Callithrix jacchus: one gene and its partners. The protein of the gene in region 2 purifies or fractionates together with the protein of the main gene of each other region. This does not show direct contact. Links are inferred from orthologs where the notes say so. Each region holds a gene or a part of one and is shown on either strand. Other genes may lie near its edges.

The links.
Region 1: the proteins of CCNF (region 2) and RBX1 purify together in Homo sapiens (affinity purification with western blotting, with the first as the bait; 4 studies listed by BioGRID). This does not show direct contact. The link is inferred for Callithrix jacchus from reciprocal best matches to the Homo sapiens genes CCNF and RBX1.
Region 3: the proteins of CCNF (region 2) and RRM2 purify together in Homo sapiens (affinity purification with western blotting; 5 studies listed by BioGRID and IntAct, with this or other methods). This does not show direct contact. The link is inferred for Callithrix jacchus from reciprocal best matches to the Homo sapiens genes CCNF and RRM2.
Region 4: the proteins of CCNF (region 2) and CDC6 purify together in Homo sapiens (affinity purification with western blotting; 4 studies listed by BioGRID and IntAct, with this or other methods). This does not show direct contact. The link is inferred for Callithrix jacchus from reciprocal best matches to the Homo sapiens genes CCNF and CDC6.
Region 5: the proteins of CCNF (region 2) and TARDBP purify together in Homo sapiens (affinity purification with western blotting; 3 studies listed by BioGRID, with this or other methods). This does not show direct contact. The link is inferred for Callithrix jacchus from reciprocal best matches to the Homo sapiens genes CCNF and TARDBP.
Region 6: the proteins of CCNF (region 2) and NUSAP1 purify together in Homo sapiens (affinity purification with mass spectrometry; 3 studies listed by BioGRID, with this or other methods). This does not show direct contact. The link is inferred for Callithrix jacchus from reciprocal best matches to the Homo sapiens genes CCNF and NUSAP1.
Region 7: the proteins of CCNF (region 2) and CCP110 purify together in Homo sapiens (affinity purification with western blotting; 7 studies listed by BioGRID and IntAct, with this or other methods). This does not show direct contact. The link is inferred for Callithrix jacchus from reciprocal best matches to the Homo sapiens genes CCNF and CCP110.

What each region holds. Positions count from the first base shown.
Region 1 is NC_133502.1:191,767,907-191,772,184, reverse strand, and holds the start of RBX1 (E3 ubiquitin-protein ligase RBX1), read right to left. Parts: upstream 2,801-4,278; 5' UTR 2,780-2,800; coding exon 2,702-2,779; intron 266-2,701; coding exon 187-265; intron 1-186. UniProt on the Homo sapiens protein: E3 ubiquitin ligase component of multiple cullin-RING-based E3 ubiquitin-protein ligase (CRLs) complexes which mediate the ubiquitination and subsequent proteasomal degradation of target proteins, including proteins involved in cell cycle progression, signal transduction, transcription and transcription-coupled nucleotide excision repair.
Region 2 is NC_133513.1:4,375,602-4,379,727, forward strand, and holds the start of CCNF (cyclin-F), read right to left. Parts: upstream 2,801-4,126; 5' UTR 2,743-2,800; coding exon 2,727-2,742; intron 736-2,726; coding exon 581-735; intron 1-580. UniProt on the Homo sapiens protein: Substrate recognition component of a SCF (SKP1-CUL1-F-box protein) E3 ubiquitin-protein ligase complex which mediates the ubiquitination and subsequent proteasomal degradation of target proteins.
Region 3 is NC_133515.1:104,869,947-104,872,565, forward strand, and holds part of RRM2 (ribonucleoside-diphosphate reductase subunit M2), read right to left. Parts: intron 2,477-2,619; coding exon 2,343-2,476; intron 639-2,342; coding exon 544-638; intron 416-543; coding exon 282-415; intron 1-281. UniProt on the Homo sapiens protein: Provides the precursors necessary for DNA synthesis. Catalyzes the biosynthesis of deoxyribonucleotides from the corresponding ribonucleotides. Inhibits Wnt signaling.
Region 4 is NC_133506.1:92,974,105-92,978,039, forward strand, and holds the start of CDC6 (cell division control protein 6 homolog), read right to left. Parts: upstream 2,801-3,935; 5' UTR 2,552-2,800; intron 1,579-2,551; 5' UTR 1,566-1,578; coding exon 1,391-1,565; intron 1-1,390. UniProt on the Homo sapiens protein: Involved in the initiation of DNA replication. Also participates in checkpoint controls that ensure DNA replication is completed before mitosis is initiated.
Region 5 is NC_133508.1:48,894,193-48,897,692, forward strand, and holds part of TARDBP (TAR DNA-binding protein 43), read left to right. Parts: intron 1-1,203; coding exon 1,204-1,374; intron 1,375-2,693; coding exon 2,694-3,224; 3' UTR 3,225-3,500. UniProt on the Homo sapiens protein: RNA-binding protein that is involved in various steps of RNA biogenesis and processing.
Region 6 is NC_133509.1:45,230,140-45,233,639, forward strand, and holds part of NUSAP1 (nucleolar and spindle-associated protein 1), read right to left. Parts: intron 379-3,500; coding exon 262-378; intron 1-261. UniProt on the Homo sapiens protein: Microtubule-associated protein with the capacity to bundle and stabilize microtubules. May associate with chromosomes and promote the organization of mitotic spindle microtubules around them.
Region 7 is NC_133513.1:20,957,481-20,960,980, reverse strand, and holds part of CCP110 (centriolar coiled-coil protein of 110 kDa), read right to left. Parts: intron 2,039-3,500; coding exon 1,979-2,038; intron 1,484-1,978; coding exon 1,398-1,483; intron 1-1,397.

The DNA of each region.
Region 1 (4,278 bases), on a different chromosome or scaffold from region 2:
TGGGTATGCTTCCAGGACATCATAAAAAAACTACTCTATTTCCAACACATCAACAGATTAGATACAGAAGACCGAGTGCTCAGCATAGGCTTCTATCTCCTTGTGAAGAAGAAAATTGGTCACATCAAGATAGCCACAATCTCTGTAACCTTCTCAACTTTCTCCCATCCTCCTCCAATTACTTACAAAGATCCATAATGTGGTTCCTGCAGATGGCACAGTTATCAACCACAATATCCCAGGCCCAGAGGGCTACTGCATTCCACTGCAAAGACAAAAAGAGGGAACAATGCATTCTCCTTGTAACACACACTCTTTACGACTTCATGCTGCAGCTGCAGTTACCACCTCTTCGGCCATGGGGAACCACCAAACACAAGTTTCTGGATATTACATTATTCTTATTATATCAAAGGACAACGGTAGACTACACGTATGTTCTCCCATTCTCCAAAAGGCTGCGTATGTCAACACAGAAATTAATGAGTCATCTTTTGTTTCTTATAGTTTAAAATACTTTGGCCAGGAGCACGCCTATAATCCTAGCACTTTGGGAGGCTGAGGCGGGTGGATCACAAGGTCAAGAGATCGAGACCATCCTGGTCAACGAGGTGAAACCCTGTCTCTACTAAAAATACAAAAATTAGCTGGGCACGGTAGTGCGCACCTGATGTCCCAGCTACTCGGGAGGCTGAGGCAGAATTGCTTGAACCCAGAAGGCGGAGGTTGCAGTGAGCCGAGATCGTGCCATTGCACTCCAAGCTGGGTAACAACAGCACAACTCCATCTCAAAATAAAATAAAATAAAACAATTTAGTTAGTGGCCAGGCACAGTGGCTTGTACCTATAATCCTAGCACTTTGGGAGGCCGAGGCGAGGGGATCACCTGAGGTCAGGAATTTGAGACAAGCCTGGCCAACATGGCAAAACCTCATCTCTAGTAAAAATACAAAACTTAGCTGGGCATGGTGGCAGTTGACTATAATCCCAGCTACTCGGCAGGCCGAGGCAGAACTGCTTGAACCTCGGGGGCAGAGGTTGCAATGAGCTGACATTGGTGCCACTTTACTCCAGCCTGGGCAAAAGGGTGACTCTGCCTCAAAAAAATGAAATAAAATAATTGTCAGCCGTATCAATGTAAACAAATTAGGAACAATTTTTAACTGCCCGTTGTAGGCTTAATAAACACAAACTTGAATTACTGTGCAGGTTTTTGTGGCAGTTGCAGAAGAGCTCAAAATCTGAGTGAGTATCTGCTCTTCCAGGAAGCTCCGGAAGCATGAGCAGTGAGGTGAAAGCTAGGGAACAGAATGAACTAAGATGATCATGGGACCATAAAATGGATAATCATGGGATAAGCTGGATAATTAAGTACCCGTGTCAGTACACAGACCAAGGTCATCACTTAAATCTTAGAAGATTACTTTATAACAAATTCTAGAATTCACTAGAATTTTGTTTGATTCTTACCATAAAATAAACAGATGTTCCCAACTTTTATGTCTTGTATTGAGATAATTCCAGTAAGAGTTTAACTAAAAGTGGCATTTCAGTTATTCCACTCTGGCTTCCTCAGTTACGAATACTGCCAAACCTTCATCACTTTCAGACCCCATTCTCAGTGCCTTATAACTTCTTTCCCACTTTTCACATCACAGTTTCAACTTGGAGGAAAAGCCCCTCTTCTATTATTCTTCAATATGGCTGCTGGCTGTAACTGAGCAGCAGTGGCCACAATGAGACACCAAAAAGCACTAGGAGGGGGGATATGTCAGTGTTTAACCAGATGTTCCAGGAATATCTTCCCTATTTCAGAATCTCCATTTTGAACAGCTTTCATGTTAGGTGGGAATCGACACTGTCCCCCAAACTGTGGCAAACCACTAAAAGGCATTTCATATAAAAAGACACGTTCCATTTTTGCTTTTCCACTCTTACCAAGTCATTCACGACTAGTACTCAACCCTCCCTAAATGCCACAGGATTTGGGCTCGGATTTTCTTAACAAATGCCACCATGCTTTTTATTTTTATTTTGGAAGGGGGAGATTCTGGACGTGACAGAGAACCCAGGACTGAGATGGTTATGTGAAAAGACAACAGACGTCTCAGAAGAGCCAAGCACTACACTCCAGACTCTTTAGACGGTGTGAGGCCCAGAGATGGGGTTAATGGAGGCCTCGGTTCGGCGAGCACCAAGTCTGGATTCCTCAAAGTGAGAGGACCCCAAGCTTCAAAAAGGGGCGGGGCAAGATCACCAGCGGGGTCCCTCAGAGGCCTCCAATGCAGTACGACCTCAGATTGTTCCCAGCTTTCGCCGCACTGCCCCATCCTCCACCGCCGCAGTCACTCCGACTCCCCATTTCACCCACCCTACCCCACCCTGTCCTTCCCCCACCTCGACCACTCCAGTGACAGCTCAAGCGCTTGGCTCCTGCCGCCAAATCGCAACCCCGCGTATCTCAATAAGCAGCTCCGTGATTGGCCCCTCAGCCTCACAGCGAAACCAACACGTCCCTGACAGTGGGCCACCGTCACGCCGATCAACTCTAAGACCCGCCCCCCGGCTTCCTTTCGTGGTACCCGGTCCCAGGAACGCCCTGAAATGAAACCCTTTACTCCGCGCCTCGACCATCCTGGGGCCTGCCAGCCAGATCCGCGCCTCTCTAGCTTCCCTGAGGAAGGTGCTGGCGAGACCCAACCTTTTTCACTTCAAAGCGCTTCTTGCCCGCGCCGCTGTTGGTGCCGCTCGGGGTATCCACATCCATCGCTGCCGCCATTTTGGAAATACAAGATCTGTCGTCCGACCACCGCGCCTGCGCAACTGTGCACGCCTCACTCCCCCGCCTCCCGGCACCTCCTCCCACACCCCACCCCTTATTGGCGCGCGAGAGGCAGGTGGGGGCGGAGCACGTCACCACGCCTCTTAAAGGGGCTGGCGCAGATTGCCCCACCCGCGTCGTGTCGGCCGGTGGGGGCGGTGGCGGGAGTGGCTGGGGCGGGGCCGAGGCTACGTGAGCTAGCCTGGTGGAAATGTTCGAAAGGGTTTGCTCTCGCCGCCTCTTCTGGGAAGCCCCCGACCACACTCCGTCAGCTGGGGCGGCGGCTGTTTCCTCCGCATGAGCACGACCTGCGCCGCAGCCCTACCCGGCTTGTCGGGCTCTCCGGGTCGCCGCGCAGCTCCCAGTGCGGGCTGGGGAAGGCGCGGGGGTGGGTACCCGCCGCCTACCCCAGAACCCGAGAGCCCTCGCTGGTCTTTCGCAGACTCTGACCCGCCTCGTAGCCAGGCCCGAGGTGCAGTCCTCCTGAGAGGGCTGGAGCGCAGGCACCGTCTGGTCTCCGATTTCTGTTTGGGAACTGCTCGGGGATTCGATGGGAAGAAGGGAGACCTCAGAAGGCCCTCCTCAAGGCCAGACTGAGCAGGCCCCCAGCCCTGCCCTCACCCGCCCGCGAAGCCTGGGGGGTGGCCTCTGCGCCCGCCTAGTCGCAGTCCTAGGACCGCCTTTGGTTGGGGTGCCCGGCTTCACTATAGCGTGTCAGTCCCCACTCCCCCTTCCTCAGTTGTCATCTGCGTGGGGTGATTTCTTCCCGGTCCGTGTCCTCTGTCTGCTGCTTGAGCTATAATGAAACCAACCCACTTGAAGTCACTGTATTTCTTGAATTTTGTGAGGCATTCTGATCTTTTTTTTTTTTTAATGGAGACAATGTCTCACTATGTTGCCCTGGCTGGCCTCGAACTCTTGGTCTCAGGCGATCCTCACACTTCGGCCTCCCACAGTGAGTACTCACAGGAGTACGCCACCACGCCCGGCACAAGCACCTGTACTTCGTGTCACTCTCCCATTTCTGCCTAGACCAGGACTCCCTTTGACATCTCTAACCTTGCAGAGGTGTGACTGCCAGATCACTCTTAGAGGCATGGTGGCACATGCCTGTAATCTCAGCACTTTGGGAGGCTGAGGCGGGTGGATGGATCACATGAGGTCAGGAGTTCGAGACCAGCCTGGCCAACATGGCAAAACCCCATCTCTACAAAAAATAGAAAAATTAGCCAGGTGTGGTGGCATGCGCCTGTAGTGCCAGCTACTCAGGAGGCTGAGGCAGGAGAATCGCTTGAACTCGGGAGGCAGAGGTTGCAGTGAGCCGAGGTAGTGCCAGTGCACTCCAGCCTGGTGAGAGAGCGAGACTCCATCTCAAAATAATAATAATAATAACAGTGAAAGAATTGCGATTTGTTTCCCTTTTAGTCATAAACAGGAACAGCAGATCCTGGAAAACA
Region 2 (4,126 bases):
TTTTATCCTTTTAAACACTATTCTGTTATCTAAGGGATGCAAATTTCACTGCCATAAAAGGGTACTTTCTCTGTTGACACCACAATGAATAGCGGCAACCTTAGTGTGCTGGGAGACAGCAATAGAAATTTCTGTAATCAGAATGTCTCAAAGGAAGCATCTGGTAATGTCCTTGTTTCCTTTGCCCTCCTCTTTTTTTTTTGGATACAGGGTTTCGCTTCCATTGCCCAGGCTAGAGTGCAGAGGCACTATCATGGCTCACTGCAGCCTGGACTGCCCGGGCTCAGGGATTCGTCCGGCCCCAGCCTCCCAAGTAATGGGAGTACTGGCATGCGCCACCACACAGGGCTAACTTTTGTATTTTTTGTAGAAACGAGGTCTTGCTATGGCTGGTCTTGAACTCCTGGGCTCAAGCGATCTGCCCTCCTAGCCTCCCAAAGTGATGGGATTACAGGCGTGAGCCACAGCACCTGGCCTGCCCTCCTTTTTAGCCAGCTTTGCTCTGACATTTAAGAACGCAAGGCCTTGATGGTATAATCAACAACGCTAGGGCTCATGCTGTTTCCATCTGGGGACTCACAGCTCGGACTGCCAGGATGTCTTCCACAGAAAGCCACTTCAGGATGTGAAACAGCACATCTTCGGGGAGACTCAAGATGGTCAGGTTTCGGGGCCTCCTTCTTACTCTTCGCTTTGTAGGATAACAGAAACACTTGGCACACCTACAGTGGACCACTTAAGGAAAAAGAGACAGAAGCCTTGATAAGATGAAAAGTTACTCTACATACAACCCTTAAAGGAAAAAAAAAGGATAAATTTCCATCTGAAGATGATCTAACGGTTACTATTCCCTGCACCACAAAAGAAGGAATCATGCTTCTTGTCTCAAACAAAGATTACGCATAGGAGTGGCATTGCAGGAATTACAGAGGACATCATTCATTTTCAAATATTCAACAAATATTTGGCAAATGGCACCCATCATGTAACTTAGCTATTGGGAAACCTTCTGATCCAGGGCCCACAGACACCCAGGGAGGGGAAAAAGCTGCCAAGGCTGAGGACGGTTTTCCTCACATTCACTCTGAGGAAAGCCCCTGGTTACCCCGCGACCCCTGCCCTGGGTTAAAGGGCTCCAGCCCGCCCTCCTCAGCCAGGGACTCTCCTCTCGACGGACCCCTGGGGCCTTTGGGGGATAGCTTGCTTTTGCCACACATGACCAGGGTGCGTAATGTTCACTAAGGATCTGTGGGCTTGAAGCGTCGTGTTTTCAAGTCCAAATTAGAAGGGTCGGCCATGGAGAGCAGCCACAGACTTGGAGGCCGGGGGCAGTGTGTGCCCGAGTCTGCGCTCTGCAGACCTGCCAGGCCCCTGAGTCTCAGTGTGTCCTCCACTGCAGAATGTGGGGTTGACAGCTACACAGTAAGGTTGTTGCTCAGATCCCAACACAAACCTAAACCTGTAGGTCTGCGTACAGGTGCAATCGTTAAAGGTGAGGCAGGCTCTCCACCCACCAGGCAGGCAGCCCAGCCATGCTGCTCTCCTCTCCCCACAGTCCGATTTCCCAATTCCTACCCCAGCAACCCCTTCCTCACTCTAAGCAGATGACCTTAGCCCTTATTTCATAGGACAACAGAAGCCCTCAGGGAGGAACCCCAGGATCCTGCCTCCCCATGTACAAATCTACCTTTCTTTTTTTTTTTCTTTTGAGACGGAGTTTCGCTCTTGTTACCCAGGCTGGAGTGCAATGGCGCGATCTCGGCTCACCGCAACCTCCGCCTCCTGGGTTCAGGCAATTCTCCTGCCTCAGCCTCCTGAGTAGCTGGGATTACAGGCACGTGCCACCATGCCCAGCTAATTTTTTTTTTGTATTTTTAGTAGAGACGGGGTTTCACCATGTTGACCAGGATAGTCTCGATCTCTTGACCTCGTGATCCACCCGCCTCGGCCTCCCAAAGTGCTGGGATTACAGGCTTGAGCCACCGCGCCCGGCCCAAATCTACCTTTCTGTCCATTCTTCTTCCAGTCCTGAAAGGGAACGCCACTCCCCTCTGTGGGCCCGAGCCTCTCCGCGCCAGAACCTCCCAGCGATCGCCCCCTGCTCCCCTCTCTTGCCCTGGGTCTTCCCTTCAGCAATTAAATCAGCTGCAAAAGCCAAACGTAGTCTAGAGCTACAAATTCTCAGATTCTGAAGACCTCCCCATTAAACAGTCCTCATTCCCCGGCTCGAGGACAGACACTTGGAGTCGTGTGACGATCGCCGTGATGATAACTGAACCCGCAGTTCGGGCTCCCCCGCCTCAACGCGCGCGGAGCCGAGCGCGGCTTTCCACGGAGCTGGGTCTACGGCCCCGCTGGACGGAAGCCCCGTCAGGACCGGCAGGGCCGCGGGATCGCCTCGCCCCACGCGCTCCGCAGCCCCATCCCCGGCCAGGAGGCGCTGGTGTTTGGCTCCCCGGGACCCCACTGCCGCTCCGGGAACTGGCTGGGAAACGTCGCGGCGAGGGAAGACGCCGAAGGGCTCAGGCGCCCGCAGGGCATTTAAACCGCGCGCCCGGCCGCTGCGGCTCCCCGCGCCGAACGCGACCCCCGCCCCGGGGTTAAAGGGCTCGAGCCCGCCCTCCTCAGGCCGCAGGGTCTTTCCTCTCGCGGGACCCGCCGTCCGCCCCTCAGGACAGGCAGAAGGGGCGCGGGGCAGGGACCGGCGGACATCTCCCGGTACTCACCGCCGCCGCTCCCCATCGCGGCGCTCGCGTAGCTGCAGCCAGAGCCCGCCTGAGAGCGCGCCCGAGCCCCGGCTGGAGCGCGCCTATCCCTTGCGCAGGCGCAGACCCCGCCCCGCCGCCCGCCCCAGTTTTCAAACGCGCCCGGCCCTCCCATTGGCCTGCCCGGGGGGGCCGCCGGCGGCCTCGCCCACGCCCCGCCTCGGACACGCCTTATTCCCCGCCCTCCACGCCCACCCCGTCTGCTCAGGGCGCCCACCATTGGCCGCGCCAGGACGCAAATTCGAACCTTGGCCGCTGATTGGTGGAGCCCGCGTGGCCGCCCCGCCTCCCCAGCGGGGAAGTGAGTCCCTGAGCAGCTCCCGGGCCGGGCGGGCGAGCGTTTGGCTCCGTTCTTTCCCGCCTGCGTGAGTCCGGGCTGTGCGGCTGACTCCGGCGACTGGCACCCGCGATGCCACATACGCTGCGAAGACGCGTGCCGGCGGCCAGGGGAAAGGGGGACTCCTTGGCGCCCCTCGCAGTCGCCGCCGTGACCCGACCTGCGAGAGCCCCGACGTGGCGCTTCTAGGACGAGGCGGTGCCCTGCCCCGGTCCCGGGGTCGGTCCTGCGCCCGCGACCCTCGCCCCTGGCCTGCACGGTCTTCCTTTCAGCCGCCCGCTTCAGGTGGAGACCCTCGGGTTTGTGGCCGAGCGCTCCTGGGCGGGGATGCCGGCCCAGATCGTGGCACGGAAAGCTGGAAGTCTCCCCGGCCCACCCTCCGGAACGCGGACCCCTTCTTCCCGCGAGACGTGGCGCACCCTGGACGCCTCAGTGCCCCAGGACCGGGGCAAGCCCTCCTCACCGCTCTGACCGGTTGCTGACCCGTCTCGCCTCCTCGGCGCCGCTCGGGATCTGCCCACTCTTGTCTCGGGCAGAGCGCATCCGAGCTGTCCTTCGGGAATCATCCTCACCCCACCCCTTTCACGGCACGGGCTGTCAAGGGAACACGCATCCTCCCGAGTGTCTGGTGGAGGCGGGGGCCTGGGCCAAGGCTGCCCACCCCTCCCTCACGCTTCCCTCAGTCTGCACCCTCCCATCCTTCTGAGTGCCCACAGCCCTCGTGATCACCAAACCCCTAAAGGTACTGGGCCTGCCCTGGGCACACAGACAGGAGCTCTGGCATGCAGGCGTCAGCCAGCCTGGAGCTAGAGACAGAGTACACAGGTGATCACAGCACGGGGCACAGAAGAGTTCCTGGCCCCGGAGAGGCCCTGGAATCTGGAAGCTGGTGAAGGAGGGTGAAGCGAGGACAGGCTGAGCGAGTTTGGGGCCTGCTCCCCAGATATCCCATGTTCTGAGCCCCCAGATTTCTTATCCCATCATCTCACTTTTGTCCCCCTGGATTAGTGTTCCTTCTTTGTCA
Region 3 (2,619 bases), on a different chromosome or scaffold from region 2:
AGAGCAAGATTCTGTTCCCCCAAAAAACAAACTTGTACTTTTTTACACATTCAAAGCCTATAAGGCAATAGGTATATACTAATGTATTATAGAGAATACAAGTAAAATAATTTCAGTAAATTAAAGTATTTCCTTCTTTTGTCAAGTATGTGTATGGTCGAACTCACACATTAAACATGGATATATGCCATCTAGTATCTCAGGTCCCCATCAGTAAACGCCAGAGCATGCCCGAGTTGTGTCTGGGACTCCAGTTACCCTATGATTTGATTCAGACTCACCTCATCTCTGCTAATAAGTTCATTAGAAAATGTGAGGCCAGGCATCAGTCCTCGTTTCTTGAGCCAGAATATGGATGCAAAAGAACCAGAAAAGAAGATGCCTTCCACTGCAGCAAAGGCTACGACGCGTTCACCTATTTAAGAGTTAACAGCAATAGGATTCTAGTGAGTAACTGTTGGTATTCATAGGAAGGGTCAACAATCCAGTAACATTACATGGAAAATGAAGCTCAAGCTGAAGTGGGGGCAAGGGTCTCCTTACCATAGGTAGCCTCTTTGTCCCCAATCCAGCGCAAGGCCCAATCTGCCTTCTTCTTGACACAAGGCATCGTTTCAATGGCATTGAAGAGAAATTCCCTAGTAGGCACACACAGCATCAGCAATTGAAGTATTACAGTAAAAGACCCCCGATTACCAGCTGCTAGATAAGAGCTCTGGGACAAAGGCCAAATTCAAGTATTTGCTGATTCTCTTCTCAAAGGAAGAACCCATGTCAAAATGTTTTATTTTTATTGGTCAGCTTTTCCCTCCAGTGTTCTTTTAAAAGTCTCAACATTTGATTTACGTTAATACAAATGTGGGTAATCTGTAGTTCATATGGAGCTTCAGGGTCTACAAACAGTAAAACGTGGGTCAGTACAGCAGGGACATTTGTTGCCTTTATTATTTCAAGTCCAGGTCATAGTTCCATGTGACGAACCATAAAATTTAAAGAACCATAAAATCCTAACTGCCATGCTATTATCAGACTATCCCTGGGTGCATTATTTGGCCCCAATTGCCACATCTCTATCATAAAATAATTAAACCAATAAACAAAGATTGCTTCCTACTAAAATTCTGTCCTACACTGTCAATCCCAGGTCAGCAAAGTAAATCCATGGGTATTAGTTAAGTGGGTCTCCCTTACCACTCTTCTGGTGCCCACCTTGAGAGGCTACTGATTTCTCAGCCTGTTCCTACCAGATGACCTTGTGTTCTGAAGCCAAGGTCACCAGACATTGGGCAGCTTTCATTTCTGTTTATTTATTTAAGGGATGAGGGTCTCACTCTGTTGCCCAGGCTAGAGTGCAGTGAAATAATCATAGCTCATGTTAAAACCAAACTCCTGGGCTCAAGCCATCCTTCTGCCTCGCTGTGCCAAGTGGCTGGGACTCACACTACCACATTTGGCTGCCTTTTATTCTCTTTCCATCTCACTGTCCTTCTCTTTGAGACCTGGGTCTGCCTCTCCCTTGCTTTTGAGGCTTCCCCAGAACTTCCTGAATCCACCCATTCTCCTTCTGGTCATTTGCCCCCAGTCGTACCCCTAATCTTTGCCTTCTTTTCTCAATTTCCACCTATATAAACATATTCAAATCTCTTCACCCAGAACGAGTTTCTTCAGTCCTTTCAAGTTACCACTTTCCTGTTCATGCACTTCTAATTTTACAACAGCCACATTAGGTTTCAGCTTCACCACTTCTACTCCATATGGAGGCTCCAGTCCCTAAAGCTGACCTTAGTGTCTAGACTACTCCAACAGCCCGTTTCTAACCCATCGCCTCCAATCAATCTCCAAAACATAAAACAGACCTAATGCTATCTTTATTCAGTCAAACTGCTGCATACCTAAATCCATCTCAGGGCTCACTGCTGCCTCTGCCTGTGTAACTCCTCTTATTTGCCTGTAGTGTACTGCAACCCCTCAGCAGGAAGTCCTCCCCGCCCTTCATCCTGCTGCAGCCCCACATTCTAGTTTCTCAACAAATTTACCAAATGACCAAAGATGGTCAGACATAGGTTTTAGTTTGTCTTACCCAACATGTAGGAATTCCTTCAAAAAAAGGCTTTAGATTGGTAGGCATCCAACTCTAAAAGTGGAGCACCTTCACAACTCTACGTGAATAATAAAGTGAATTTAGGCCCCTTGCTAAGAGCAGACATGACCACGGGTGCTGGAAATGTCTATGTCTGCTTAGTCATTCTGGAGTCATTTTTATCCCTAGATGAACTAAAACTTTGCCACAAATCAACAATTAAAGAGTCCTAAAAATCTTGGCATACCACTTGAATACGCACCTTTCGCTGGGATCTTTTATGTAAGTGTCAATAAGGAGACTATACATTTCAGAATGAATGTTTTCCATGGCAATTTGGAAGCCATAGAAACAGCGGGCTTCTGTGATCTGAACTTCTTGGCTAAATCGCTCCACCTAGTGGCAAAACACAAAGTCAAGCTTGAGAAAAAACTGGCGACAGCAACTCTTGTCAATGGATGGTAGCATCACGTTCTGCACCCTTGTAAGATTTCTTTCTATATATATTTCATCCAATTCTTCACAATTCTGTGACAAAG
Region 4 (3,935 bases), on a different chromosome or scaffold from region 2:
AGGGCATTGTAGGATGTTTAGCAGCATCTCTGGCCTCTACCCACTAAGCCAGTGGCATCCCCCAGCTGTAACAACCAAAAATGCCTCCAGAAACAACCAAATCATCCCTCATTTAAAAACAAATATTCCAAAACGAGAATTACCAACCACTGTTCTAAAACAAGAAAAAAATGGAAAATATCCAGCATGTCGCTGTTTTCTTTTAATTTCACAAATATTGAGGTACATTTCATAATATCTTGCTACTACAAGGTAACTTAAAACACTGACGGAACTAACCTCAGTATTAAGGAATCAAAGATTAAACCTATTAAGTAGTTCAGAAAGTGACCTCAGTAAGTGGCTTAACTCTGGAGTTCAGTAAGCAGTTAGCAACCATTCTGAAAATAACTAAAATGAAGAGTAGTCTTAGGCCAGGTGTAGTAACTCACGCCTATAATCCCAGTAGTTTGTGAGGCCAGGAGTTCAAGACCAGCCTGGCCAACGTGGTGAAACCCCAGCTCTACCAAAAATACAAAAAATAGCCAGGTGTGGTGGTGTGCACCTGTAGTCCAGCTACTCAGGAGGCTGAGGTGAGAGGATGGCTTGAACCAGGGAACTAGAGGTTGTAGTGAGCTGAGATCGTGCCACTGGACGCCAGCCTCAGCGAAAGAGCGAGACTGTTAAAAAAAAAAAAAAAAAGCTGGGTATGATGGCTCATGTCTGTAATCCCACTTTAGGAGGCCAAGGCAGATGAATGACCTGAGGTTAGGAGTTCAGAGACCAGGCTGGTTAACATGGCAAAAACCGGTCTCTGCTAAAAATACAAAAAAATTAAATAGGTAGGGTCCAGTGGCTCAAGCCTGTAATCCCAGCACTTTGGGAGGCCGAGGTGGGTGGATCACGAGGTCAAGAGATAGAGACCATCCTAGTCAACAATGTGAAATACCGTCTCTACTAAAAATACAAAAATTAGCTGGGCATGGTGGTGCGTGCCTGTAGTCCCAGCTACTTGGGAGGCTGAGGCAGGAGAATTGCTTGAACCCAGGAGGTGGAGGTTGCAGTGAGCCGAGATTGTGCCATTGCATTCCAGCCTGGGTAACAAGAGCGAAAGTCCGTCTCAAAACAAAAAACAACAAAAAATAAAATAAAATAAAAATTAGCTGGGCTTGGTGGTGGGTGCCTGTAACCCCTCCTACTTGGGAGGCTGAGGCAGAAGAATTGCTTTGACTTAGGAGGCGGAGGTTGCAATGAGCTGAGATCACGCCATTGTACTCCAGCCTGGGAGACAATATAAGACTTTCTTGAGGGGAAAAAAAAAAAGTCTTAACTGAACTTAGAAAGCTCCTTCAAAGGACACACATCTTATTGAGAAAAGAAAGGTCAAAAAGTGATATAACAAATGGCTTACCCAGACGTTTCCTGGGGCTGAGAGGCAGGACTTTTACATGAGAACAGGGTACAATTTGGGCATTTGTCAGTTCTAGTTTGGCATCACTAGAGTTTTTAGTTTTGTTCAATGCCTGAGACAGCTTCTTTTTTGGAAAACTGATTGTAGCCTGTGCCTGGGATCGGGTTTGAGGCATGACAGCAGCACAACTAGATACAAAAAATAACAGGACAAATCAATAGGTAAAAGTGAAGGGAAAATAACTAACATAGAATTTATTTATACTGATGATTAACACTTATTTCTTAAGTAAATTATGTTACCACAATATTTTAGCATTCAGTTCTAATTCACATCCAAATCTATGCAAGAACAGCTGACATTTGTTGTCTACCTACTACGTGGAAGCCACCGTTATAAGCACTTTATGTGCCAACTCGTTTTGTTTTACAACTGCCTTAGAGGTAGGTACTAGTATTAGCCTTTATTTTACGGATGCGAAAACTGAGATAAACAGTGGCCCAAAGTCACAGAAAAACAGGAATGTAACCCCAGGCTGGCACCAGAGTCCAAGTTTTTAACCAATTGATAAATGCAATAAGAAGTTACTTGAAATGGGCCGGGCCCCATGGCTCACGCCTGTGATCCGTACTTTCGGAGGCCAAGGCGGGCGGGTCACGAGGTCAGGAGTTCGAGACCAGCCTGGCCAATATGGTGAAACCCTGTCTGTACTAAAATAATACAAAAAGTAGCTGGGTCTGGTGGCGGGTGCCTGTAATCCCAGCTACTCGGGAGGCTGAGGCAGGGGAATCACTTGAACTGGGGAGGTGGAGTTTGCAGTGAGCCGATATCGCGCCATTGCACTCCAGCCTGGGTAACAAGAGAGACTCCATCTCAAAAAAAAAAAAAGTTACTTGAACTGATTTGTATAGAACTTCTAATTGCCCTCCTCCAGGCATGAGGGGTGTTTTATCACCAGCTCAGCCCACCAGCCGCCACATTTCTCTTCTCTCCCAAGCCCTCACACTGCAGGTCCGTCTTCTCTCAGTCTCTCCGCCCCTGCACACAGGCCTCATTCTAAGCGGCTCTCAAGGCACCCCAGAACATTTCCTTCCTACAGCTTTCAGCTCCTTCACAGCTGGAACTACCCCGAGGGCGCCTGCCCTTTCCCTGATTCCCGACCTCAGACCTCCAGCGAGCTCAGCTCTCTTCCCCTCACTTCACCTCCGGCCTCGCCGGAACCCGCAGCCTTCACCCAACGCCGCTGCCTCACAGATCGCAGGCCTCCTAGAGCAATCCTCTCCTTTCCACCTCCTCAGTGCAGGCTCCTTCTCAGGTCTCTCACACGCAGCCTCAGGGACTCACCACCAAAAGCCCCGAACAAACTGCACACCAGCAGCAGCAAAACCCAGCCGCGCTCGCGCCAAATCTAAATTACCACAGCGTTCCAGCCTCCCGCCAAAGCCCGGTCTCGATTCTGATTGGCTGTGGTCAGAGCGCTGTTCGCCTTGGGTACCGCCTCTTTTTTGCTTCCAATCCTGCGGAAGAGTTACAGCCAATGAGAGAGCCCCAAGTCTTTGAGTCACAGCGAGGCCACGCCCACTGAGCGGCGTAGACGGGAAAGAGAATCTACATCCGGGGCCTCAGTGGAAAGACGCGCGATTGCTGCAGGGCGACTCTGGGTAAGGCGGGACGGCCCGGCCGCAAAGCACGGCGGGAGGCGTAGTCTTTACTGCCGCGCGACCCTACTTCCGCGCTCTTCCTTCGACTGGGTGTCAAGATGTGGTTCCCCCTTCTCACTGCCGAACATACCCATTTGCATCGTCCTGATGGACTAGATTTTCAGTACTAGTACATGATACCTACCGTTTGGGGAGCGCTTCTGTGCGCCAGGTATGAACCCCAACCCCGGAAGGCACACAGCAAACCTCCATACAAGGTTAGAGGTCACAGCATCTTGGTGACAGTGAAAAGCCTAGGATCCAGATCTTCTGATGCCTGAACTAGTGTTTTTTTTTGGTAAAGTTCTACACAGCTATATAAAGAAAAACTATGCTTCATCATAGTATCTCTTGATTTGTACTTCAAAGGTGAGAAACAGAGCCAACTCTTTGCTTTTATTTCGTTCAAAGTTAGATTATATTATATGCACCTTCTTACCATTAATCCACACCTCGTCGGGAGAGAATTATGACCCCTTAATTTTAAAATCTTTTATGGCGAAACACTAGGGTTTCAGAGCCAGGGAAAGCAGCTATATAGAAGAGGCAAGCTGAGTTTTTAATGAAAAATATAAATTAGAGCAGTAATTTGGAGGCCAGCTTCCAAAGCCAATAACTCATCTAACCCTCAGGTTCCTTTAAAGGCCAAAACCCAATTCTAGGTCATGGTAAACATTTATCTTTTACCCCTCAGTAACAAATAAAACAGAGCCATAAAGCCTAGAAAGAGGAAAGCAACAATATTACGATCATCAGTTAATTGGTACCTAGTTCATGAAGAGAGCCAATATTGAGGGCTTTAAGTGTATGCCAGAGAATGTGCTCAGTATTTTACCTACATCGTC
Region 5 (3,500 bases), on a different chromosome or scaffold from region 2:
CTGAATATTTTATGCTTGTTGCAGATATTTAGTTTATTACTTCTTCAAACTAAAGCTTTGTTCATTTTGTTCTTTTTGTTATGGATGTGAAAGAGAAAAGGTTATTTGTCAAGTTAAGTTTCCTTACATAGTTATATGTTAAAACATGAAGACAATCAGAATATATATATATATATTAATCTTGTTATAAAATCTAACTTTGTCCAAGCAAACAAGTAACATCTGCTTATTTGGCACATCATCATCTTTGCCAGGAGATTGGTCATTTATTGATTTTCTCAAATCCAAATACAGTCATGCATCACATTGCAAAATTCATCAGTCAGCAGTGGACCAAGTGTACAGTAGAGGTCCCGTAAGATTATAACACTGTTTTTACTGTCCCCTTTCCATGTTTAGATATACACGTACTTACTATGGGGTTACAGTTGCCTGCAGTGTTGAGTATAGTAACTTGGAAGTTTGTGGCCTAGGCGCAGTAGGCTATACCATCCAGCCTAGATGTGGGGTGGCTATGCTATCTGGCTTTCTTTCTTTTTTCTTTTTCTTTATCTCCAGTAATGGCTATCAGCAATGTAGAAGCTATCTGGTTTTATATGATGTTTGCACAATGATGAAGTTTTTATTTTTATTTTTTTTAATTTTTTTGAGATGGAGTTGTTGCCCAGGCTGGAGTGTAATGGTGCAGTCTCAGTTCACTGCAACCTCCCCTGCCCAGGTTCAAGCGATTCTCCTGCCACAACTTCCCAAGTCACTGGGATTACGTAAAGGCGCCCGACACCACACCCAGCTAATTTTTGTATTGTTAGTAGAGATGGGGTTTTGCCATGTTGACTAGGTGGGGTTGGTCTTGAACTCATAACCTTAGGTGATCTACCCACCTCACTCTCAAAGTTCTGGGATTACAGGCATGAGCCACCACACCTGGCCACAGTGATGAAATGGTATAACGACTCATGATTCATTTCTCAGAACATATTTCCATCATTATGTGATGCATGACTGTGTACGTTTGTAACTTAAAATGTTACTCTTTATTGAAGCCTTACAAGAAAAAGAAATGTTGATGCAAAAAAATTAAGAGTATGTCCCTTTTTAATAACTCACTACTATCCAAGGCAGAAAGATTTTGTTATATCCCTTACCTTAATGCTTTTTTCATTGTTTATATTTGAGTTTTTTCCTTCCTTTTGATTTGACCAGCAAAGTGCAGATGAGCCTTTGAGAAGCAGAAAAGTGTTTGTGGGGCGCTGTACAGAGGACATGACTGAGGACGAGCTGCGGCAGTTCTTCTCCCAGTACGGGGAGGTGATGGATGTCTTCATCCCCAAGCCGTTCAGGGCCTTTGCCTTTGTAACATTTGCAGATGATCAGGTATTTTTCTCCTTAACAATATGGGCCAGGTAATTAGGTAATTTCTCTTGAACATTTCCCATCCAGCTAATTGCTGTTCTTAGCTAAGTTTTTTCACCTTATAAGATGTAGAGTGTATGGGCCTAGATGTTCCCCCCGCCCCAACTTTTTTGTTTTTTGAGATGGAGTCTTGCTCTGTTGCCTAGGCTGGAGTGCAGTGGCACTTCTCTTACTGCAGTCTCCGCCTCCCAGGTTCAAGCAATTCTCCTGCCTCAGCCTCCTGAGTAGCTGGGACTATAGATGTACATCACCATGCCTGGCTAATTTTTGTGTTTTTAGTACAGGTGGGGTTTCACCATATTGGTCAGGCTGGTCTTTGAACTCCTGGCCTAGTGATCCACCCTCCCTGGCCTCCCAAAATGCTGGCATTACTGATGTGAGCCACCATGCCCGGCTACAAATACAACATTTTTAAGAAATTTCTAAAAGTAAATCAACCTTTAGATAATTTTCAGTATATGGCATTTGGGAATGTTAAATATTTTTTTTTTGAGACAGAGTTTTGCTCTTGTTGCCCAGGCTAGAGTGCAGTGGTGTGATCTCAGCTCACTGTAACCTCTGCCTCCTGGGTTCAAGTGATTTTCCTGCCTCACCCTTCTAAGTAGCTGGGATTAACGGCATGTACCACCACGCCCAGAGATGGAGTTTCACCATTTTGATCTGGCTGGTTTGAACTCCTAACCTCAGGTGATCCGCCTGCCTCAGCCTCCCAAAGTGCTGGGATTACAGGTGAGAGCCCCCACACACACCCTTTTTTTTTTTTTATACAGGGTCTCACTCTGTTGCCTAGGCTGGTGGAATGCAGTGGTGTAATCAGAGCTCACTGCACCCTAGAACTCCTGGGCTCAGCCTCCAGGAAGAGAATCCTCCAACTTCAGCCTCCCAAGTAGCTAGAACAGGTGCATGCCACCATGCCCAGCTAGTGTGGTTTTTTTGCAGGGTTTTTGTCTTTAATAGAGGTGGGGTCTCACTGTGTTGCCCAGGCTGTCAGACGAGTCTTAAACTCTTGGCTTCACACAGTCCTCCCACCTTGGCCTCCCAAAGCACTAGGATTACAGGCATGAGCCACCATGCCGAGCCTATGTCTTTTGAAAATAGACTGAAATATCACTGCTGCTATTACTAAAACTAAAGCTGTATTGTGGGGTTAAACAAAATGAGCATTCATTGCTTATTTTTCCTCTGGCTTTAGTTAATGCTTGTAATCTAAGTTTTGTTGCTACTTTGATGTATAAATCAGTGGTTTAATCTTATTTGTTTACATCCCTTATTTCTTGTAGATTGCGCAATCTCTTTGTGGCGAGGACTTGATCATTAAAGGAATCAGCGTTCACATATCCAATGCCGAACCTAAGCACAATAGCAATAGACAGTTAGAAAGAAGTGGAAGATTTGGTGGTAATCCAGGTGGCTTTGGGAATCAGGGTGGATTTGGTAATAGTAGAGGGGGTGGAGCTGGTTTGGGAAACAATCAAGGTAGTAATATGGGTGGTGGGATGAACTTTGGCGCATTCAGCATTAATCCAGCCATGATGGCTGCAGCCCAGGCAGCGCTACAGAGCAGTTGGGGTATGATGGGCATGTTAGCCAGCCAGCAGAACCAGTCAGGCCCATCGGGTAATAACCAAAGCCAAGGCAACATGCAGAGGGAGCCAAACCAGGCCTTTGGTTCTGGAAATAACTCTTATAGTGGTTCTAATTCTGGTGCAGCAATTGGTTGGGGATCAGCATCAAATGCAGGGTCGGGTAGTGGTTTTAATGGAGGCTTTGGCTCAAGCATGGATTCTAAGTCTTCTGGCTGGGGAATGTAGACAGTTTGTGGTTGGTTGGTATAGAATGGTGGGAATTCAGATTTTTCTAAACTCACTGGTAAGTATATTGTAAAATACATGTACTAAGAATTTTCAAAATTGGTTTGTTCAGTGTGGAGTATATTCAGCAGTATTTTTGACGTTTTTCTTTTAAAAAAGGAAGAGCTAAAGGAATTTTCTAAGTTTTGTTACATGAAAGGTTGAAATATTGAGTGGTTGAAAGTGAACTGTTGTTTGCCTGATTGGTAAACCAACACACTACAATTGATATCAAAA
Region 6 (3,500 bases), on a different chromosome or scaffold from region 2:
TTAAGGTTTTTTTTTTTTCTTTTTGAGACAGTTTCACTCTTGTTGCCCCAGGCTGGAGTGTAGTGGTGTGGTCTCAGATCACTGCAACCTCTGCCTCCTGGGTTCAAGCGATTCTCCTGTCTCAGCCTCCCAAGTAACTGGGATTACAGGTATGTGCCACCATGCCTGGCTTATTTTTGTATTTTTAGTAGATGTGAGCCGCCGTGCCCCACCAATCTTAACTATTTCACAGGCCCTGTAGCTCAATATACTCCTAAATACCTTTGTGTGGTTCATAGTTGAGGGGACGAGACAAACTTGCTTTAAGATCAAACACTGGTTTCTTATTCGAGACTGGAGTCTGCATTGCCTCAGTTGTCAACTTGAATGGGGTAATAACTAAAAAAAAAAAAAAAGAAGAAAACAAGAGCTTAGTTAGAAACAAAGACCTGTTAAAATGTTTGTCAAAGTGTTACTTCTCAATCTTAAAAACACATATTATTGTCTGAATGTTTGTACCTCTTGTGACTCCAAATTCATGTTGAAATACTAACCCTCAATATGACTGGTGTAAGGAAGTAGGGCCTTTGAGAGTAAGTAGGTCATGAATGGGGTTCAGTGCCTCATAAAGGGACCCCACAGAATTTTCTCTAGCTCTGTCACATGACCATACAATAAGTTGGCAGTCTGCTACCTGGAAAAGAGCCCTCACCAGAATCATGCTAGTGTCCTGATCTGTCTTCATCCAGCCTCCAGAACTATGAGAAAGAAACACTGCTGTTTATAAGATAGTCTTTGTGCTTTGTTGTATAATAGCAGCCCCAAAGGCCTGAGAGAATCTACATGAATACTCTGAAATAGATGAAAGAGTCTGAAGTAAGGGTTAAAATGGAGACAAGGGAAGAAAACAGTAAGTGAGGAAAGCTAACCATTGAGATTAGTTTCCTTTGCTAAACAGCTTTGTAAATGTTCTGAGTATGACATTTCTTTTTTTTTTTGAGATGGAGTTTCACTCTTGTTATCCAGGCTGGAGTGCAATGGCGCAATCTCCGCTCACCACAACCTCCACCTCCTGGGTTCAGGCAATTCTCCTGCCTCAGCCTCCGGAGTAGCTGGGACTACAGGCACACACCACCATGCCCAGCTAATTTTTTGTATTTTTAGTAGAGACGGGGTTTCACCATGTTGACCAGGATGGTCTCAATCTCTTGACCTCGTGATCCACCCGCCTCGGCCTTCCAAAGTGCTGGGATTATAGGCTTGAGCCACCGCGCCCGGCTGACATTTCTTAGGATCAGCTGGGAGTTTAGAATTCTGTTGAAAGAAATAACGGTATGGCTGGGCGCGGTGGCTCACGCCTGTAATCCTAGCACTTTGGGAAGTGGAGGCAAGTGGATCACCTAAGGTCGAGAGTTCAAATCCAGACTGATCAACATGGAGAAACCCCACCTCTACTGAAAATACAAAATTAGCTAGGCATGGCTGCCCATGCCTGTAATCTCAGCTACTCCGGAGGCTGAGGCAGGAGAATGACATGAACCCAGGAGTCAGAGGTTACAGTGAGCCAAGATCGTGCATTGCACTCCAAGCTAGGCACCAAGAGGGAAACTCCATCTCAAAGGAAAAAGAAAAAAAGAAATAATGGTAATTTTTCAGCTTATTTCCCTGATAACAGCTACTCATAAAAATTACATATTAATAGTATCATTAACATAAACAAACATAAAAAGAACCTAATCACATAAAGTTGAAAGGATTCATGGCCTGGTGACTCATACCTGTAACCTCAGCACTTTGGGAGGCTGAGGCAGGAGAATTGTTTGTAGACAGAATATTATTAATAAAGGCTGTTATCACTTAAGAATATGAATTTTTGGGGGGCTGGGTGTGGTGGCTCACGCCTGTAATCCCAACATTTCGGGAGGCTGAGGTGGGCAGATCACAAGGTCAGGAGATTGAGACTGTCCTGGCCAACATAGTGAAAGCCCATCTCTACTAAAAATACAAAAATCAGCTGGATGTGGTGGTGCGCACCAGTAGTCCCAGCTATTTGGGAGGCTGAGGCAAGAGAATGACTCGAACCCAGGAAGCAGAGGTTGCAGTGAGCCGAGCTTGCACCACTGCACTCCAGCCTGGTAACGGAGGGAGACTCCATCTCAAAAAACAAAAACAAAAACAAAAAAACATAATTTTGTTTGTTTGTTTTGTTTTGAGACGGAGTTTCGCTCTTGTTACCCAGGCTGGAGTGCAATGGCGCATCCATCATGTTGGCACAGACCACCATGTTGACCAGGATGGTCTCGATCTCTTGACCTCATGATCCACCCGCCTCGGCCTCCCAAAGTGCTGGGATTATAGGCGTGAGCCACCGCGCCTGGCCCAAAAAAATATAAATTTTTGAACCATGAAGTTAAAAATATCCAGGATAGTGAAGTTTTTATTTTTTTGAGATGGAGTCTTGCTCTGTCACCCAGGCTGGATGATATGACCTCGGCTCAGTGCAACCTCTGCCTCCCTGGTCAAGTGATTCTCAAGAGAGTAGCTGGGATTACAGGTGTGCGCCACCAGGCCTGGCTAATTTTTGTATTTTTATAAGAGACGAGGTTTTGCCTTGTTGGCCAGGCTGGTCTCAAACTCCGGACCTCAAGTGATCCTCCTGCCTTGGCCTCCCAAAGAGCTGGGATACAGCTGTGAGCCACTGTGCCCTGTCTAAAGATGGTTTGGTTTGGTCAGCCTTTTTGCTACAGTTGACCATCAGTTATCTAGCACATTTTGTAATCCCTTCTCTTTTTTTTTTTTATTTGAGACGGAGTCTCACTCTGTTGCCCAGGCTGGCTGGAATGCAGTGGCACAATCTCGGCTCACTTCAACCTCTGCTTCCTGGTTCAAGTGATTCTCCCACCTCAGCCTCCTGAGCAGCTGGGACTACAGGTGCATGCCACCATGCTGGGCTAATTTTTGTATTTTTAGTAGAGATGGTATTTTACCATGTTTGCCAGGCTAGTCTTGAACTCCTGACCTCAAGTGGTCCACCCGCCTCGGCCTCCCAAAGTGCTGGGATTACAGACAAGAGCCACCATGTCCGGCCAATCCTTTCTCTTCATAGGGGGAAGCCACTTATCATTTGTATCCAGGTCATTGCCAAATGTGAACACTTGCCTCCATCTGTGAACCAGCAATCAGGATCTAAGATCAGCTAGTTAAACACCCAAAAGCACAAAACTCCATGTTCAAGGGATCCCACTGTATCAATATCAGGTGTTGGCAGGGAGTAGAATAAGGGGCTGCCATACACTGCCAGTGGAAAGCATGAATTGGTACAATTCATCCAGGGCAGTTAATGTCTGCATATTTTCCAATCCAGCTGTCCTGCTCCTAGGTCTAGGGAAATTCTTGCACAGGAGACATGTTTAAGAGTATTCATGACAACATCATACATAATCATGAAAGCTGGAATGACTCACATGTTCATGAATAGTACAATAGATAAATCAACTGACATATACCCATATCATTGAAAA
Region 7 (3,500 bases), about 17 Mb from region 2:
CAAAATAATAAACTTCATTGTATGTTATTAACTTCAATGACTGCCTATAATCCTTTATACTGTTAAGTATTGCTGAATAAAAACAGTACTTGCTATTTTGCTTACAGGTTCACAAGTGACAAATAGTGGAGATGAAATGCATGAGAAAAAAACATGGAGAGTAGTCACTGTGGCAAACTGATATCAGGCAAAATAATACTAATTCCTCAATGATTTTCCAACTTGCTAAGACTCAGTGCAATACAGAATATTAACATGGGAAAAACAGAAAATGTCTTAAAATTCCACAGATCTGGTGTTTGGTCTGAGTCCTTTCAAATGGTTGTCTTTCAAACTAGCTTATTCTGACTGCCTCTGGAGCAGGCAGCACCTTCAGCTATGTAACCCTTTATGACAATTCCATTAACTGTCACTCAACAATTTCCAAAGATGACCTTTTAAATTATACCATATATGAGTGACACTATGAATTACATTCACTACATACATACAAAAGGTAAGCCATCATTTCAAAGTTACGATCAATAGCTTGCTCCCTAATTTGAAGGGAATCACTTAGTAATAAAAGCTCTCAAATTTACCTAATTATATATTAATGGAAAGATTAGAATTGATTAGAGGTTTAATCTTCAATGCCCGGTGAGTAATTTAGGTTTCTTGTAAATGTCCAGAAAGCAGTATAATTAAAGCACAACACTTGGAAAGTATTTTTAAATGGATCACATAATTTTTAAGTGAGCTTAATCAAAGTGTCTTAACAAAGATACCTTAAAAATATTAAAGCATTTGGTTAAGAGTTTTGAATTAGCTCAAGAATGAGTTTGTCTTCTTGCCACCATAAACAGAATTTTAAAACACAGTTTTTAGTTTAGCTCTTAATCCTCAGATGATGAACATAAGGAGAGATTCAGCTCAAGCTTCTGATTGAGCAAAATATGAAGACCTCCTCCCATTGGCATATTCACATGTGATCTTACAGTTTGAGGGAGAAAGGTTTCATCCCCTTATGTGCAGACACACTTCCCCAAGCTGAACAGACAATGCATAGACTTAGCACCAGAGATAATCATTATCTTTTATTCATTAAATAAAAAGGTTTTATTTAATAAATTAAGCATGGTGAAAAAAATTCCACAATTTTTTCAGAATTAAAAATACGTGGTGTTTTCCATATTATAGAAATATTAAAGAAATCAAGATTGGAATAACAGTTTTACTAAGACTTCCTGACTACCATGAAATGCTAAGACCAAAGAACACTAATTGGATGACCGTGAATATGCCAAAATTATGGTGGCAAGGAAAGACAATCTATTCCACTTCTGTGGCCTGAGTTACGGGGCGGCTTGTGCACTTCCTTCTATTGAATGGGCTTCAGAAATTCATTTTCTACACACCTGTAACAGGCACTCTGTTAGGCACTCTGCTCTGTGAAGGCTTCTGTCTATTTTGCACAGCCCCCTTCACTGATGTCTTAGGGGTTCTAATTGAATATAAAAAAATTAATAAGTCACTGGCATTAAGGTCTAAATGTTCAAAATTCAAAGAAAGCAATCACAATGCATCAACTGTCCAAAGCACAAATAAGCTTCAAAAGAACTGGAGTCTCATGCATGTGCACAGCAAGGAAAGCTAAACTCTGGCTTCAGCAGGAGACTACAAGCATGATTCATACTCTGTTGGAGAATCACTTCGGTGATGATGAATTTACTATATGGATATTTAAATACTTAATGAGTAAAATGATATGAAATGAAAAGTAAAAACATGCCAACATAAGATAGGAGTTAGAATACACAACAGTATGCTAGGAGGGCTAAATTTGAAGACAAAACTTTAAAATACCTTTCCCAATGTTATAAAAAAAAATCACATTTGAAAAACCATTATCCTTTATGTAAAGAACACGGCTTTATTTTTCCCTCTGAACCTAATCTTGGTTTCCATAGTTTCCAATAACTGTGTGTGGCATTCTTACCCTTGTCTACTAAGTAGCCTATGAACAGGTGCATTCTGTCCTTGGTTTGGCTGAAGGACTCTGTTGACAAATTAAATAAAAAATTAATTTAAAAGGATAAATTCCATTTTTTCCCATTTTCTTTCAACGGATGAAAGATGATGACAGTAAGAAGAAAGTCATCTATGCAATAATACGGCCTATATATTACCACAAAGCAAAGCAAATTGACTAAAGCATATTAATATGGTACTTATATTTTGCTCACTGAGAGTCCAAACCTCAGGTTTTTATCACCAAAGAAATGGCCAACATATAGACTAACCCTTGTGCTTTAAGATAATTTTCTTACACACATACTTTACAAAAGCTAACCTTTCCTTTCAAACAGGTTGAGAGAAGAAAATATTGCTCTCATTTTACAGGTGTGAAAAACAGGTCAGAAATACTCAAGTTTGCTTTTTAGTTTTATTTATTTATTTATTTATTTTTCTGAGATAGGTCTTACCCAGACTGGTTTGGACTCCTGGGATTAAGCTATCCACTTGCCTCAGCCTCCCAAGTAGCTGGGAATACAGGAACATGCCACTGAGCCCAGCTTAAGTTAGCTTTTTTTCGTTTTTGTTTTGTTTTGTTTTGTTTTGAGACAGAGTCTTGCTCTGTCACCCAGGCTGGAGTACAATGGCGCTATCTTGGCTCATTGCAACCTCTGCCTCCTAGGTTAGCCAATTCTCCTGCCTCAGCCTCCTGAGTAGCCAAAATTACAGGCACATTCCAACACACCCAGCTTTTTGTATTTTTAGTGGAGACGGAGTTTCACCATGTTGGCTGGGCTTGTCTTGAACTCCTGACCTCATGGTCCACCCGCCTCGACCTCCCAAGTTCTAGGATTACAGGTGTGAACCAATGCACCTGGCCGAGCTTAAGTTAGCTTTCTAAGGTTTTTAAGTAAGTATCAAAGATCCTCTGGACTGTGTAACTGAACTCAAGACATATCAGGCTCAAATTTCTACCACAGATAGCATGCCCTACAAAAGCTCCAGGCACATCTGGTCTGACATGGGACCAAGTATACAGCCAGGTATTCATATGATTCTTGAGCCTGTGGACCATCCCCCACCCAATTCAGCAGGAAGTGTTCTACTGATGTCAAATAGAACAAAGTCAATGAAAATGAAGCTTGGGCTTTATAAATTTTATTTTTTTTAAATTTTGAGATGGAGTTTCACTCTTGTTACCCAGGCTGGAGTGTAATAGCGTGATCTTGGCTCACTGCCACCTCCACCTCCCGGGTTTAAGCAATTCCCCTGCGTCTGCCCCACAAGTAGCTGGGATTATAGGCATTCGCCACCACGCCCAGCTAATTTTGCATTTTTAGTAGAGACGGGGTTTTCCATGTTGGTGAGGCTGGTCTCAAATTCCTGACCTCAGGTGATCCGCCCACCTCAGCCTCCCAAAGTGCTGGGATTACAGGTGTGAGCCACCATGCCCGCCCAATTTTTTTTTCCCTATAAAAAACAAAAAGCTTCTCATTGAGACTAAA